Linked DNA regions of Caenorhabditis elegans. The protein of the gene in region 2 purifies or fractionates together with the protein of the main gene of each other region. This does not show direct contact. Each region holds a gene or a part of one and is shown on either strand. Other genes may lie near its edges.

What was found. The genes of interacting proteins can lie anywhere in the genome.
Region 1: the proteins of npp-5 (region 2) and evl-18 fractionate together in Caenorhabditis elegans (co-fractionation; one large-scale study listed by BioGRID). This does not show direct contact.

Annotation. Positions count from the first base shown.
Region 1 is NC_003281.10:3,729,113-3,736,612, forward strand, and holds evl-18 (Cell division control protein 45 homolog), read right to left. Parts: upstream 5,928-7,500; coding exon 5,868-5,927; intron 5,819-5,867; coding exon 5,759-5,818; intron 5,740-5,758; exon of another isoform or gene 5,735-5,739; coding exon of another isoform or gene 5,562-5,734; intron 5,512-5,561; coding exon of another isoform or gene 5,322-5,511; intron 5,262-5,321; coding exon of another isoform or gene 5,181-5,261; exon of another isoform or gene 5,143-5,180; intron 5,032-5,142; coding exon 4,938-5,031; intron 4,459-4,937; coding exon 3,971-4,458; intron 3,245-3,970; coding exon 2,786-3,244; intron 2,396-2,785; coding exon 2,188-2,395; intron 2,137-2,187; exon of another isoform or gene 2,065-2,136; coding exon of another isoform or gene 1,996-2,064; intron 1,838-1,995; coding exon of another isoform or gene 1,745-1,837; exon of another isoform or gene 1,663-1,744; intron 1,391-1,662; coding exon 1,192-1,390; intron 1,146-1,191; coding exon 989-1,145; 3' UTR 528-988; downstream 1-527. Other genes in the region: F34D10.9 (CPSF_A domain-containing protein), read right to left, coding at 1-396, 444-458; F34D10.8 (uncharacterized protein), read left to right, coding at 1,745-1,837, 1,996-2,064; F34D10.3 (Serpentine Receptor, class E (Epsilon)), read left to right, coding at 5,181-5,261, 5,322-5,511, 5,562-5,734.
Region 2 is NC_003280.10:11,596,233-11,601,379, reverse strand, and holds npp-5 (Nuclear pore complex protein 5), read left to right. Parts: upstream 1-1,570; 5' UTR 1,571-1,574; coding exon 1,575-1,680; intron 1,681-1,736; coding exon 1,737-1,849; intron 1,850-1,897; coding exon 1,898-2,104; intron 2,105-2,156; coding exon 2,157-3,180; intron 3,181-3,226; coding exon 3,227-3,675; intron 3,676-3,856; coding exon 3,857-4,102; intron 4,103-4,158; coding exon 4,159-4,455; 3' UTR 4,456-4,613; downstream 4,614-5,147. UniProt on the Caenorhabditis elegans protein: Involved in kinetochore assembly and chromosome segregation during embryonic mitosis.

The sequences.
Region 1 (7,500 bases), on a different chromosome or scaffold from region 2:
GCTAATAGTCAATCTTCTCACGACAATCGTCTGAGCCCATTCTTTCGAATGTTCCAGATGAATAAGTGTCTGTATAACTTGAAAATGCTCTGAATCGTAAGAAATCAGCGCGACAATATTATCCGAAATCATATAAAATTCAATAATTCGAGCGAGAAGAAGCGGATCAATATCGTCGTCAAGTTGGAACGTTTTTGTGTTTCCGGATGCCACGTGGTATTTGCAGATAGACTTTTCAGTTGCTGTAGTGATGACTTCTGGAGCTTGTTCCGGAGCTTCAACTATGCTCAATACGATGCGAACTTTAAGACCATAAAGAACACTTCCATCACGATTTACAGCAAGATATTGAGCTCCATCAAGACCATTCGGTGTTGAACTCACAAAATATGATTGCTAGAAAATCCTCAATTAATCAGGAAAATCGGCCAACTCGAACATACCTTATGCGTAGACATTTTCGAGTAGAAAAATGATAAGTGCGTAAATTTGAGACTAGATAAAATATAAAATAAATTAGTTTGAAGAAGTTGGAAGTTGATTTAATCAATCATCAGAAAAAAATCATCATCAGAAAAAAAATTACAATATGTTCACGTGAAAACTGATCAAAATAAAGTGAATATGTGACAATGAAATGAGAAGTGGAGAAGTAAATAGGGGAAATAATTTCAGAAATTGATAATAAAAATTAAACTCGGAAAGTCAGTGTGCCCGTGTATGAGAAAGATTGAACATTATAACAGTAGGAGGCAATTCTACAAAATAGCCTAATGCACCATGTTTTTCATTAAAAATTAGTGTCAAAATATAGAAAATCACTTGATTTATCACAGAAAACGCAGGAAAATCGCCTAAAAATGGCAGTTTCCAAGCCATTTTCAGCTATTTTCCGATAAATTAAGTAATGCTCTATATTTTAAGACTTTTTTTTTCATTAAAAGCATTGGAACAAGATGGTGCAATAGGTAGAAACGCCTGTAAGAGATCAGTTGGATGTGCCCTCAAAGACAGTCTGCAGAAAATCAATAAAACGAGTACGATCTTCAGATTTCAAGCGAATAATATCAGAATTAAAGTAGTCATCAACGATACGAAGTGGTGGAGTCATTTTCTTTACTCGTTCGAAAGCACGACCAATACACCTGAAAATAATCAATTTTAAAGTTAAAATTACAGGCCGAATATTACGTTTTAAGTAGTGAATCCTCATAAATTGTGGCAATCGGCATAACTCCAGTGACTACAAGCCATCCAGCACTCTCTCCAGTCAATGGGAACATTGCGATTAGCGGCTTTGTTGTACGTCCTTTCTTCATTGAGGCAAAGGCGCGAATCATGAATCCGGCGGTGTTGTAGAGAAAATGACGTGAGTCGACCATATCCTCGTCTGGAAATATATTTTTTAGACTATAAAAGTACTAAATTTTCTCACTAGTTTTCAATTTTTTCCCATCAACATCAACAAAATTTGATTTAAAAATTTAATGTTTTATTAATTTTCAAAATTTCTGATTTTCTCTGAAAACCCCAACCAAGACCCCAGACCAAAAGAGCAGATGTCCAAAAAGATTTTTACACGCGAAAAATTAATCTGTTCAAAAGAAATTATTTAAAAAATTCAAAACAAATGACGCGAGAAACGTGAAGCCTGATTTTTTTATTTCCCACTCTCCTTCAACTTTTTGAAACAAAATCAGTTCTCGTTAGTTCTAGTTATCGAAACTTGTGAAGAAGGTCTGCAATGGCTGCCGCAAAGAAATTGATGCCAAAGCGAATGAAGAAGAAGATGCAGGTGGAGAGAATGGCTCATGCCAGAGCTTGCAAGGTTGCAAAGGTAAGCATTTTGTTATTTGGAAACATTAGCTTCTCGGGGAATTCAGAATTTAATCAAAAAAATTGCGGGAATTCGAATTTGAGTTTTTTTCAAAAACCGCTTTGAGGATTTCTGAATTCAAAATTTCAACTAATTTTCCCATCAAAAATAAATTACAGAGAGAGGCTCGCGTCGCTGAGGAAGCATCTGGAAAATCAACTGGTGGATCTACTCGCGGAGCCAAGTGATAGCCGAGCCACAACACATGACCCCATCGAACTTCATCTTCTGATTATGCTAATAAAATGCTTAAAAATCGAGTTTTTATTTTCTCCGATTTGACTTTTTCCAAATGATTCTAAAATCCGTACCAATGGACCGTGAGCACGAGAATAGATAATACGGCCCATTTGGAATAATCTCCGATTGATTAATAGCCGCCGCGACGGTTTTCCACGACACTTGAAGCGTTCGTTGGCAGATCGAAGTGAACGTGTTGTTGAGATTCAGGCGATCTTGTCGTTCTCCAGTTATTGATGATCTGAGGATTGATTGACCGGATCGGAAACGATTCATTATCTGGAATAATATATTTTTATTTTTTGGCATTTCAGAATATTAGAAAAAATATTTGATTTATCTGAAAATACCTTTTATTTCAGTTGGAACAATTGGAGAAATGCTCAAATAATTGTCTAAAAGCTGGTAGATTTTGTTCCGAGAGTTCTCAACTTCCAGATAATTTTTCAGCACTTTTAATTGTTTAAAGAGTGCAAAAAGTTATCTGAAAGTTGAAAATTGCTCGAAAAAATCAGAGAATTATTGAGAACTTTTTCAGTTGTTCCAAGTAAATTAATAGTTATTTTCAGATAAACTAAATATTTTTCTATACTTTATCACTGAATTTTAATTTAAAATATTGGAAGAGAATGGCTAAAAATATAAATTTTTACAAAAAAAAACCCTTACAGTTTCACTTTTCGGCATTTCCAATCGTAAAGTGACAGCTCTTGCAACATCACATGCACTCAACTTCCCACAATATCCAAGAGTTCCAAAAAATGTTGCAAACGATGAATCCATTTCTTTTTCCAGAACATCAACCACCAAATTCCGTTGCTCCGTTGGAAGAGCTTCGAATTTTTGTTTTGTTTCGTGAAGAGTGATTCCAAGTTGAGCAAGTAAATGTCGAATATTCACATCTCCTTTTTGTGTCCAATTTTTTGTTTTAATCGAGAAATACTCGCTGACCATCATTGCACTGAACAAATCCCAATGTGAATATAGAGCAAGTGGTAGTTCTCGGCCAAATGTAATATGCAAGAGATCATCCACTTTTCCTTGATTCACTATATTTTTTGGCATAAATCGATGGACAAACGGACGCATTCGATCTACACAGATTTGGGTGTACATTTCAATTGAGATCTGAAAAAAAGTTGTATAAAATACTGTTTTATGGCTTTTTAAATTGTGTAATAGTGCAATTTTAGCGATAATTGGTAATTTGCCAATTTTTTTACTGAAAATTGTTCAAAATCTGTAGATTTTTGGGGTGTTTTAACATAATTATTAATCAATTTGAAATGCTATAGGTCTCGAAACAACACCTTTGTGTGGAATATAAAAATGTCTGCGTCTTTAAAGTTTACTGTAGCTTTCAATTTTCGTTGTCGCGGAATTTTCATCGATTATCTATAGTTTTTTTTGATAAAAAATGTATTCAATTTTTTTTTTCATTCAAAAATTTGTCAAAAACGATGAAATTTCGCAACAACGAGAATTTAAAGCTACAGTACTCTTTAAAGGCGCACATCTTTCAGCAGTTGTCAATACCTCGGGCGCCGTATTTTTGGCGCAAAAATCGCAAAATTTTGTGTCTGGATTATATTATTTTTGAAAAAACCCAAAAATACCATTTTTTGCCCTAAAAACTTGGTCTCTACACGATTTTTTTGGATTTTGAAAGAGTATGCGCCTTTAAGAACTACTGTACCATCGTATTTTCCTGAAATTAAAGATCGATCCGATAAATTGCATCATTTTTTGAGCCAAAAATCGATGTTTTTCTTTCGTCATAAAATTTTTTTTCGATATTTTTCAGAGGAAACCGAAATTTTTGATTCGCTCAAAGCCTTCACACCTAAAACTTACCAATTTATCAGCCATCGCACTATTCAACCCGACCGCAGTAAACCACATAGTTTCAGCAGATACTCTGTTCATTTCTGCGGCCATCTCGAGTAAAGTCACACAGCTCGGCGAGCTGAACCACGTCGATTCGTAGTATCTCCAGAGAATTGTCCTCCTCTGCCTTTCCCATATTTGCATTTCTTCCCTCTTAATCGCTTTCCGTCGAATCTTTTCCATTCGTTGTTCATATGAGATGTACTCTTGATCTTCATCTTCATCTGAATCTTCTTCATCGTCAGAATCCTCTCGAATCACAGATTCAAGATCAGGAATTTGCAATTCGCTCATTTCACTTGGATTTGCCAATAAATGAATTTGACCATTTTCATAGACATTCTCAATGTGAAATGGTCGATGAGAATCAATGACAAATGCTATTGAAGCCGGCGGGATTTGTAGTCGTGTCAGGGATCGTGTTGCTCCGCAATTGATTAGGATATAATGACATTCTGTAATAAAAATGTAATAAAAAATGTTTTTTTATCAATTTATTAAAGGAAACAGCGGAAATCTTGCTCCGAAATTCCGAAAATTGTGATAAAACTTCTTAGAAATTGATATGGCGGTATAGAGTTCCGCCGGATCTCGACAGACAAATATTTGCTAATTGCGAAAAAGTGTGCGCCTTTAAAGAGTACTGTAGGTTCAAACTTTCGTTGATGAGCAATTTTATCGATTTTTCATAGTTTTCTCGTTAAAAATATGTGTTTATTTTAAAAAAAACACTATATATTAAAAAATAAAATCACATAAATCTAACACATCGATATGAATTGCGCAAAAACGGGAGCTCAAAATTACAGTACTATCTTTCGTATCGAGACCGGATACTGTATTTTTACTCCAATTTTGCCACTTTTCCGTGTGGTAACGGTGACGGAATTATTTTTTAATTAAAAATTGGGGATATTTCGACTCTCTCACATACTTTGCTCTTGTGAATCTGCAAAAATCTTCTCCACCGAGCTCCATCCTTCCACTGCAAGAATCGAGAATGGGATGTCATCACAGCGTAGCAGATGCTGAAATTTGAATAATTGTTCTATCTAATGCTCTCACAGCAACCGCGCTCTCTCGTACGCTTCTCTTTCTCTGCACCCTCCCCCTCTTATTGTCTCCATCGACTATTTTTCTCAATATTATGTGAATAAAATTGAGTTCATTTATGAATATGCGACTTTTATCGGGTCAAAAAGCGATCTGTGTCTTCCTTGACCTTCTTGCCACCACGATTTGTTTGGCTCTGTTTTTGGTGAGCAGAAATGAAAGATAAATTGAAATATTTTCAATAAACCGGAGACAATAATTCCAGGATAATTCAAGTGGCGACAAACAGTACATTTTCCTTTGTCTTATAGTTTTTGCCACAGACGCTGCGTGCTTCGGAGTGCTCTTTTACAACATTTACTCCGAATTACGCACAAATGGACAGCAAAACCTCGGAATCCGCGCTTTCTGGAACTTTTTGTATCCATTCAATAATGTTTACACAGGACAGTTCGGTTAGTACGAAAATAAATATATTTTTTGAATAAAAAAAATCGATTTTCAGTATGCATCACTTGCAAAGTGGTTTTCGAGGTTCTCATCGCAATTCGGCTGACATTTGCACTTTCAATTCCATATATTGTCTATTTCATCCCATTTTGGATCTTTTGTGGAATAATTTTTGTCGATCTCACGCGGAGACTTTACTCCGTTCAAAAGAAAATAAATAATCATTGATTTATAAATAAATTGCATTATTACCGTCAAAATCATCGTCGTGCATAATGCATCCGTGTCGACTGAAACGATTAGAACCACACTCTGAAGCAGAAATAACGTGAAAATGGAGTAAAAATGACTTTAAACTCACTTTATCGCCTTTCTTGATTTTATTGTAGAATTCCTGCCGAAAGTTGTCTTCGATGATCATCTGAAATTTATAATATTGATTTAAAATTATTTTTTATTAATTTCAAAAAGATAATAAGCAAAAAATCTCGAGAAAATCACCAGAAAAGTGTGAAAAAAGATGCGTTCGTTTCAAATTAATGGCTTCGCGCGTTGAGAGTGCGGCAGGGCGCAATTGCATTTCTCGATTTCTCGCAAAAACTGAATTGAAAACCGAAAAATCTACAGAAATAAATCTAAAAGTGGGCAATTCAATTGAAAATAATAATGTGCTGTTGCTGAATGACAGAATGGTGGTATGTTACGTCATCTGGAGTGTTTGGAGAAGACGTCATCGCGCACGCGGTGAACGGGGAGGAGGATTGAGTAGATTTGGTCAGAAATGTAAATATTATACAATATTTACAAATTTTTGTATTTCAATTTCAAACTCATAGAAAATAATATGAATAAATACACATCAGGATTTTATGAACACAGACACGCGTAGGTTACATTCAAGGCGAGGAGGTTTTTCTTTCGTAAGTTAAATATCTACGTTTATTGAGTTTTTTCAGTTACTGTATTTAACTTTTTGTTTTTTTCTCTCAAATACCCTCCGGGGGAAGGAGTCCTCCTTATTTTCTTTGATTATTCACAAAATTCAGCTAATTCAGTTGAAAAAGCGAAATTAGTTTAAAGGAGCACGCATTTTCTGGAGTTGTGGGTCTCGCAACGAAAATGTTTTGTTTTGTTTTAGGCGAAATTCAAATATTTAATTTCTGTCGTTTTCAATAATTTAAACAATTTTTGGTCGGAAAATTCCGGTTTCAAATGCATTTAATTGAATTCCTGGCATGTTTCTTTGTTCCCTGCAGCCGCTCGTATCTAGACCACGTGTTACTGGGAAAAGCCATGTGACGCACCGGCGGCGCGTCACTTGGCTTCACACCGCCCATCCACTCCCGTAAAAAGCGGGTATAAAAACCGAGTAGAAGAGAGAGAAAGCTCAGTTTATTTTGGAAGGACGAACGAACTCTTCCTTCCGCTCATACCACGTATCTATTCGTTTTTCTTCCTTTTTGCCACGATTTATTGGCAAATCGGGGACGCTCGTTGATTTTTCTCGCACATTTTTTCTATATTCATAAAATCAAAAGGGTGCTGTAACACTTTCAAATTGCAAATGTCGAGGCAACACTATTTGTTTTGAGTGTATTCCTACAATATTGTACACAATGAGAATATTTTACACAAAACACGGACGCCACCATTGAATATTCATACATGCGCTCTACTCTGGCCATTTTTGTAATCTACTATAACATTTTTAATTTTTAAAGGAAGCTACAAATTCGTCGATTTTTACCTTATTAAAAAGTCTAGGATATAAGAGAAAAACAACTTAATTTTATGAAACCTGCCATATAAATTCGAATTAATAAAATGTTTAACGTGACCTTAACCTCGCTCCCCAGCTCGTGGCACATATTTATGGATATGCCACGTGTACAATAGGGTCCTCTCGAATATTTTCAGTTGCACAATTCTCCGTCTTAATTTTCTTTTTTCCTTATATGCTCTCAACACAATTCTAATTTTCAGCTCAATCAATT
Region 2 (5,147 bases):
CTATTAGAAATTTGTAAAAATTTTCATTAATTTAAATCTGAACGTTTATCAGCGGCTTTAAACATTTTGAAAATATGCATTAATTTTTTAATAAACGCAAAAAGTTGAAAATATCTGCGTATTTTTTGTTGTAATTCAACATGATGTTCGAAATTCAATACATCTTTTTTTTCTTCTTTCTTATGCTCCTCCTCTCCCACACTATCAAGTTTCGGGGGTCTTCTCTCTCGTTTTTTTTGCAGAACTTGTTCCAAACTCACCTTTTACCATTGCATTTTGTGTTGTCTTTTAACTGAAGTCGGCAGAAAAAAATCCGGTGATCGATTTTGGGAATAGGTGGCGACGATTTTGAAAAGCAGGTATTTAGCGATGAAAATACTCGAAATTAATTTTAACAAATATGATTGATAAACTAAAGATATGAAGCTACTAAATATGGCTCGGTGAGCTGGAAATAGTGGGTGAAGGAGTGGAGAGGCAGAAACAAAGAGAGACGAAAAAGAAGAGGTGCACTACGGCTCCCATGCAAAACTAGCATCTTTTCGTTTTTTTTTTTTGGTTTTCTTGTCGGTTGGTGTAATTGATGTGATGGATTACACTTGAGAAGCCCAAGGAAGGAAGTACCAAAAAAGGGCAAACATTTTTTTACAAGGAATCTTTTTTTTGGTCTATAGTCCCCTTATAAGGACTTTTTAGAGGAGGAGGTGTAGGTTTCTTCCCTAGAAACAGAAAGCAGTCCAACATATTGAATATAACTTTTTAAATAATTTATAGAATTCTCCTGAATTTTTAAAAAAATAACTTTTTCAATTGTTCGAACATAACAAAAATGGACAGGCCGCCAAAGTCCTAGGAGATTGATTGCACAAAGCCGCAAGCTTTTCGTACGAAATAGTGCTCCAGAAATGGTTCCATTCTAGTTATTAAATCAAAACTTTGGTCTATTGTCCTCTCCATATGTTTTTCTCTAATTTGAGTATACAATATACCCTGTTTTGTGTGCATTGAGCCTGTGCATAAGACGAACGATACGAACGGCCCCTCTCCTCCTTACATTCTTATACACAGTCTCAATTCACACAAAACATGTGGTTCAAAGAATATATCCTTATGTAAGTAGCAAACGCAAGCGTAGGAGCACGTATTGATCGATTTATAGACAGTCACAATGCACACAAAACAGATGATTTAGAGGATAGCTGCTACTGGAACGCAAAAATACGATGTGCTTTAAAATAAGAGCTCTCATCAACCCATAACGTCGGCTCTCATTTTTGTTTTTTATAGCTGATTGCACCTTATTAAACAATTTGAAGATGAAAGGCACTACTCGGAAAAGTTTCAAATTGCAATTTCTTCCATTTCTGTGTTTCAAAAAAGTTATGAAAACCTGAATAAACCCCTCTTTTTTGAAAGTCCGCGCATTGTGTTCTCAATGGAGCGCACTACCATTATTTTCGTTTAAGCAAAAATTTTCAAATTTCGAAGGGTTTTCGTCGTGTAAAACGATTTTTTTTTCTGTTTCATGTAGTTTTTAAAACTTTATTTTCCTTTAAAAAAATATTTTTAGCACAATGACAGACTTGTTCGCTTCGGGGGACAATTCTTCCAACTCCTTCGACGACTCTAACGATGAAATCGCGCGCAAAAATGAAACCGCTTTCAAATACACTACAATTTGTGAGTTTAACACTCGATGCGAAAGGAAAACTATTTTAAAAATATATAATTTGCAGTTCACACAAATCTCTCAGAAAAACTGTACCACGAATTATGTGCATTGGCTTTCGGAGAGTTCGATATTCCTCAAGGGCAAATCTCGCCACTTATGTGGACCAGACTTCATGAGGTTTGATTCACTTGAAAAAGGCCTCTGATAAATGTAATATTTTTTCAGATCTATTCAGAAGTAGAAATGCAGACTCGAAAACTTCCTGCAGGATCTAATTATTCCGCCAGTTCACAAAAATACGCGAATGAAGCCGTGCAAATCGCCAGTGTTCTTTCAATTTATACCGCGTTGGCTCATGAATATGATGAGACTGTGGAAGTTTCTTTGCTTAGCAAACTAGTTGTAGAAGATGTGGAGTTTAGAAGGATTTATGTAAGATCTTAGACTTTTTATTCAATTAAACACATAATTTCTAATTTTTTAGGCTCTTCTTCTTTGGAGTGAGAAAGCGATCAGCGAACAGCAATATGAAAAAGGTCTTGGAGACAAAGTTCGGAAACTCGAAGGAATCAAATCTTCTAGAATCAATTCAATGATGGCTTTGAAACGACCAACATTTGGAGCAGCCAATGCTCCAAAAGATGCTTCACTGGATCCAGATGCTCCTGGTACCAAAGAAGATCAAGCTCTCGAGCAAATGGCGATGAACGTTTTCTTCCAATTAATTCGAAGTGGAGAAACTTCCAAAGCTGCGAATTTAGCCATTGATCTAGGAATGGGAGCGATCGGAGCTCAACTTCAGCTTCACTCGATGCTCCGGAACCCACTTGATATTCCACTAGAGGCATCTAAACAGAACTTTGGGGAATATAAAAGATCTCGACGCGCAAAGTACTACCAGATGACACAGAAATTGATAGAACAATCGCAGGGGAGCGAAGATGATGCTTACTGGATGCTGATTTCTGCGATTCGTGGGAATATCCAACCAATGCTAAAAGCTGGAAAGTCAGTGATTGAAAAAGTATGGGCATATGCAAATTCTGCAGTTCTCGCAAGAATTCTTGCCGCCGAGGGAGCCATGACACAGGAAACTATTTCGACGTTGTTCAACGTTCCACTAACTTCAAAATCAATCTTAGATGAGCTGAGATCAGAGGCTGATCGTACCAAAGAAGTATACATCCTACTCCGAGTGATCGATGACATGCTCAATGATGACATTGAAGATCTGTACAAGTTCGCAAATGAAACAGTCGGAGAATTTGTTCCAAATGATAAAAATTGTCAAGTGAACATGCTCGCACTCGACATCTTCTTCCACCTCGTCGCAGTTTCTTATGCGAGTGGTTTCGAACCAAATGACGATGGAAATGCTGTAATTATTCTTGGATTCGATGATCTTCGTGCACGCAGTGGAACCTCATCACACAAGAAAATGGCTGCATTTTATTCAAGATTCCTCCCAGAAGATATGAAGCTTCCAGAGATTGTGGAGACTATGAAAGGTAATTTAAAAACTGATGATGATTTTTAAAAAAATTCTCTTTTCAGCTGTCGATTCTGATGAAGAACGTGAAATCCTGGCTGAGTCGCTGAAACAATCTGACATTGATTTCGGACGCTGTGCGTGCACACTTATTGAGCAAATCAGAAAAGATGACAAAACGAAGGTTGTAACTTTGGAAGAGCAGATTGATCACTGGCATTGGCTTTTGATAGGTGGAGAAGAGACTGCACTGGCTGCTCTTGAAGAATGTAATCGACTAGTTCGTAAAGTGATGCTGTCGACACCGATTGACGAGTCTGTAATTAGGCAAATTATTCGAAAAGCGCTTCATTTCGAAGTTCCTAAGCTATTGTCACAAGCTGTTGAAAATGAAGCAACTGTACTTTCACTGATCACTGATGGAACCCTGTTTGAGCAAAAACCTGGATCGCAGCTGGCAATTAATAAAATCGAACACGCGGCTCTGGAATTTTATGGGCTCTGCTCTTTCGTGGTATGATTTCTTATCCAAATCAGCGGAATCTTTAACCACTGGTTAAAATTACAGTAATCTTTAAAGGTGCAAACCGTCTCGTATTGAACAAAAATTTGTCGTGTCGAGACCCCGTACTCAAAATTTCGCTGCTGAATAATATTCAATTTCATATTGGCCATTTTAAAATCCGAATTTTCAGGATGTGAACAACTTCATGATCACTATTGCTCTGAAACTTGGGCTCATGTTCAAGTACACACCGATCACTGATGATGAGCTTTCCATGATCGGAGGAGTCAAACGACTCGACAACACCACAGCTGCTGACTGGGAAGCTTCACTGAGAGTCCGAGCTCGTGCTGAGCAAACTCTGCGGGAAGAGGTGCTCAAAAAGAGAGCCGCCGAGCATAATACGCGAGTTGGAATGGTTCAACAACATTTAGATGTAGGATTTTTAGAATAAATTGTTGTGAAAAAAATTTTAAAAAATTGAAATTTCAGACTGTTCTTCCGATGCTCCGTGGGCTGGTTAACAATATTGGTGTGCGCCCGGAGTACTTTTTGAGCCCACGTGCTAATGGAGATCCAATGCGTGTACACCGGAAAGAAATTCAGGAGATTCGGAATCTCTTCCTCCCGCAATTCTTCATCCTTCTTGCACAAGCCGCCGTGAGACTCGACGATACCACAAATTTCAACGATTTCTTCACAAGCTTCAATAATGACCTCGGGCTCGATCAGGAATGGATGGTTTTCATCAAAGCTTTCTACGCAGAACTCAATCTCAAAGTCGAATAATTTTTATTTCATTGTTTTTTTGTTTGATACCTGTTTTGATTACCATTTTTTATCACTATATTTCTGACTTCTTTCTCATTTTTTTTAAATTTCCGGTCGATCTTTCACAGACACGATTGTATCCGTGCAGTATTTGAAAATAACAAATTTTTCTGATTTCTGTGGGTTTCACGTGAAGATCTTCTTCAAGAAGAGGTCATCAGATTGCGGAAGATCTATATTACCGATCTGACGCAAGACTACCATGTATATTTGGAAAGGAAAAATTTTCTGTGCAGAGGTTGATGGTTTAAATTTTGATTTAGATATTTTCTTCATTTAATTTGAAAATTTCCATGCCTGAAAATATCCTCAGTGAGGATTCTCACCTACCGTATACTTAAAGGCGCACACCTGTCTCAACCGGAGCGTTGCGAGACCCGCGGCATCAAACTACACACTGTGTTTTGATGATCTTTCGATCGTTCTCGAAAAAAGAAAGAGCAGAGTTCATTAAAACAAATGGCGGCAAAATGTCTATAAAGGCGAGTCGTTCTCTTCATTATCTTTTGATTTTCGATGTGTTCTCCTTATTGTTTTGTTCGTTGACCCCTTATCTGCATTCTCACCGCTACGCAACGTATATTTAACGTCAGCTTTTTCGCAGAAAATTTTTCTATATTCTCATGCAAATTTACTGTTCTCAATGCTGG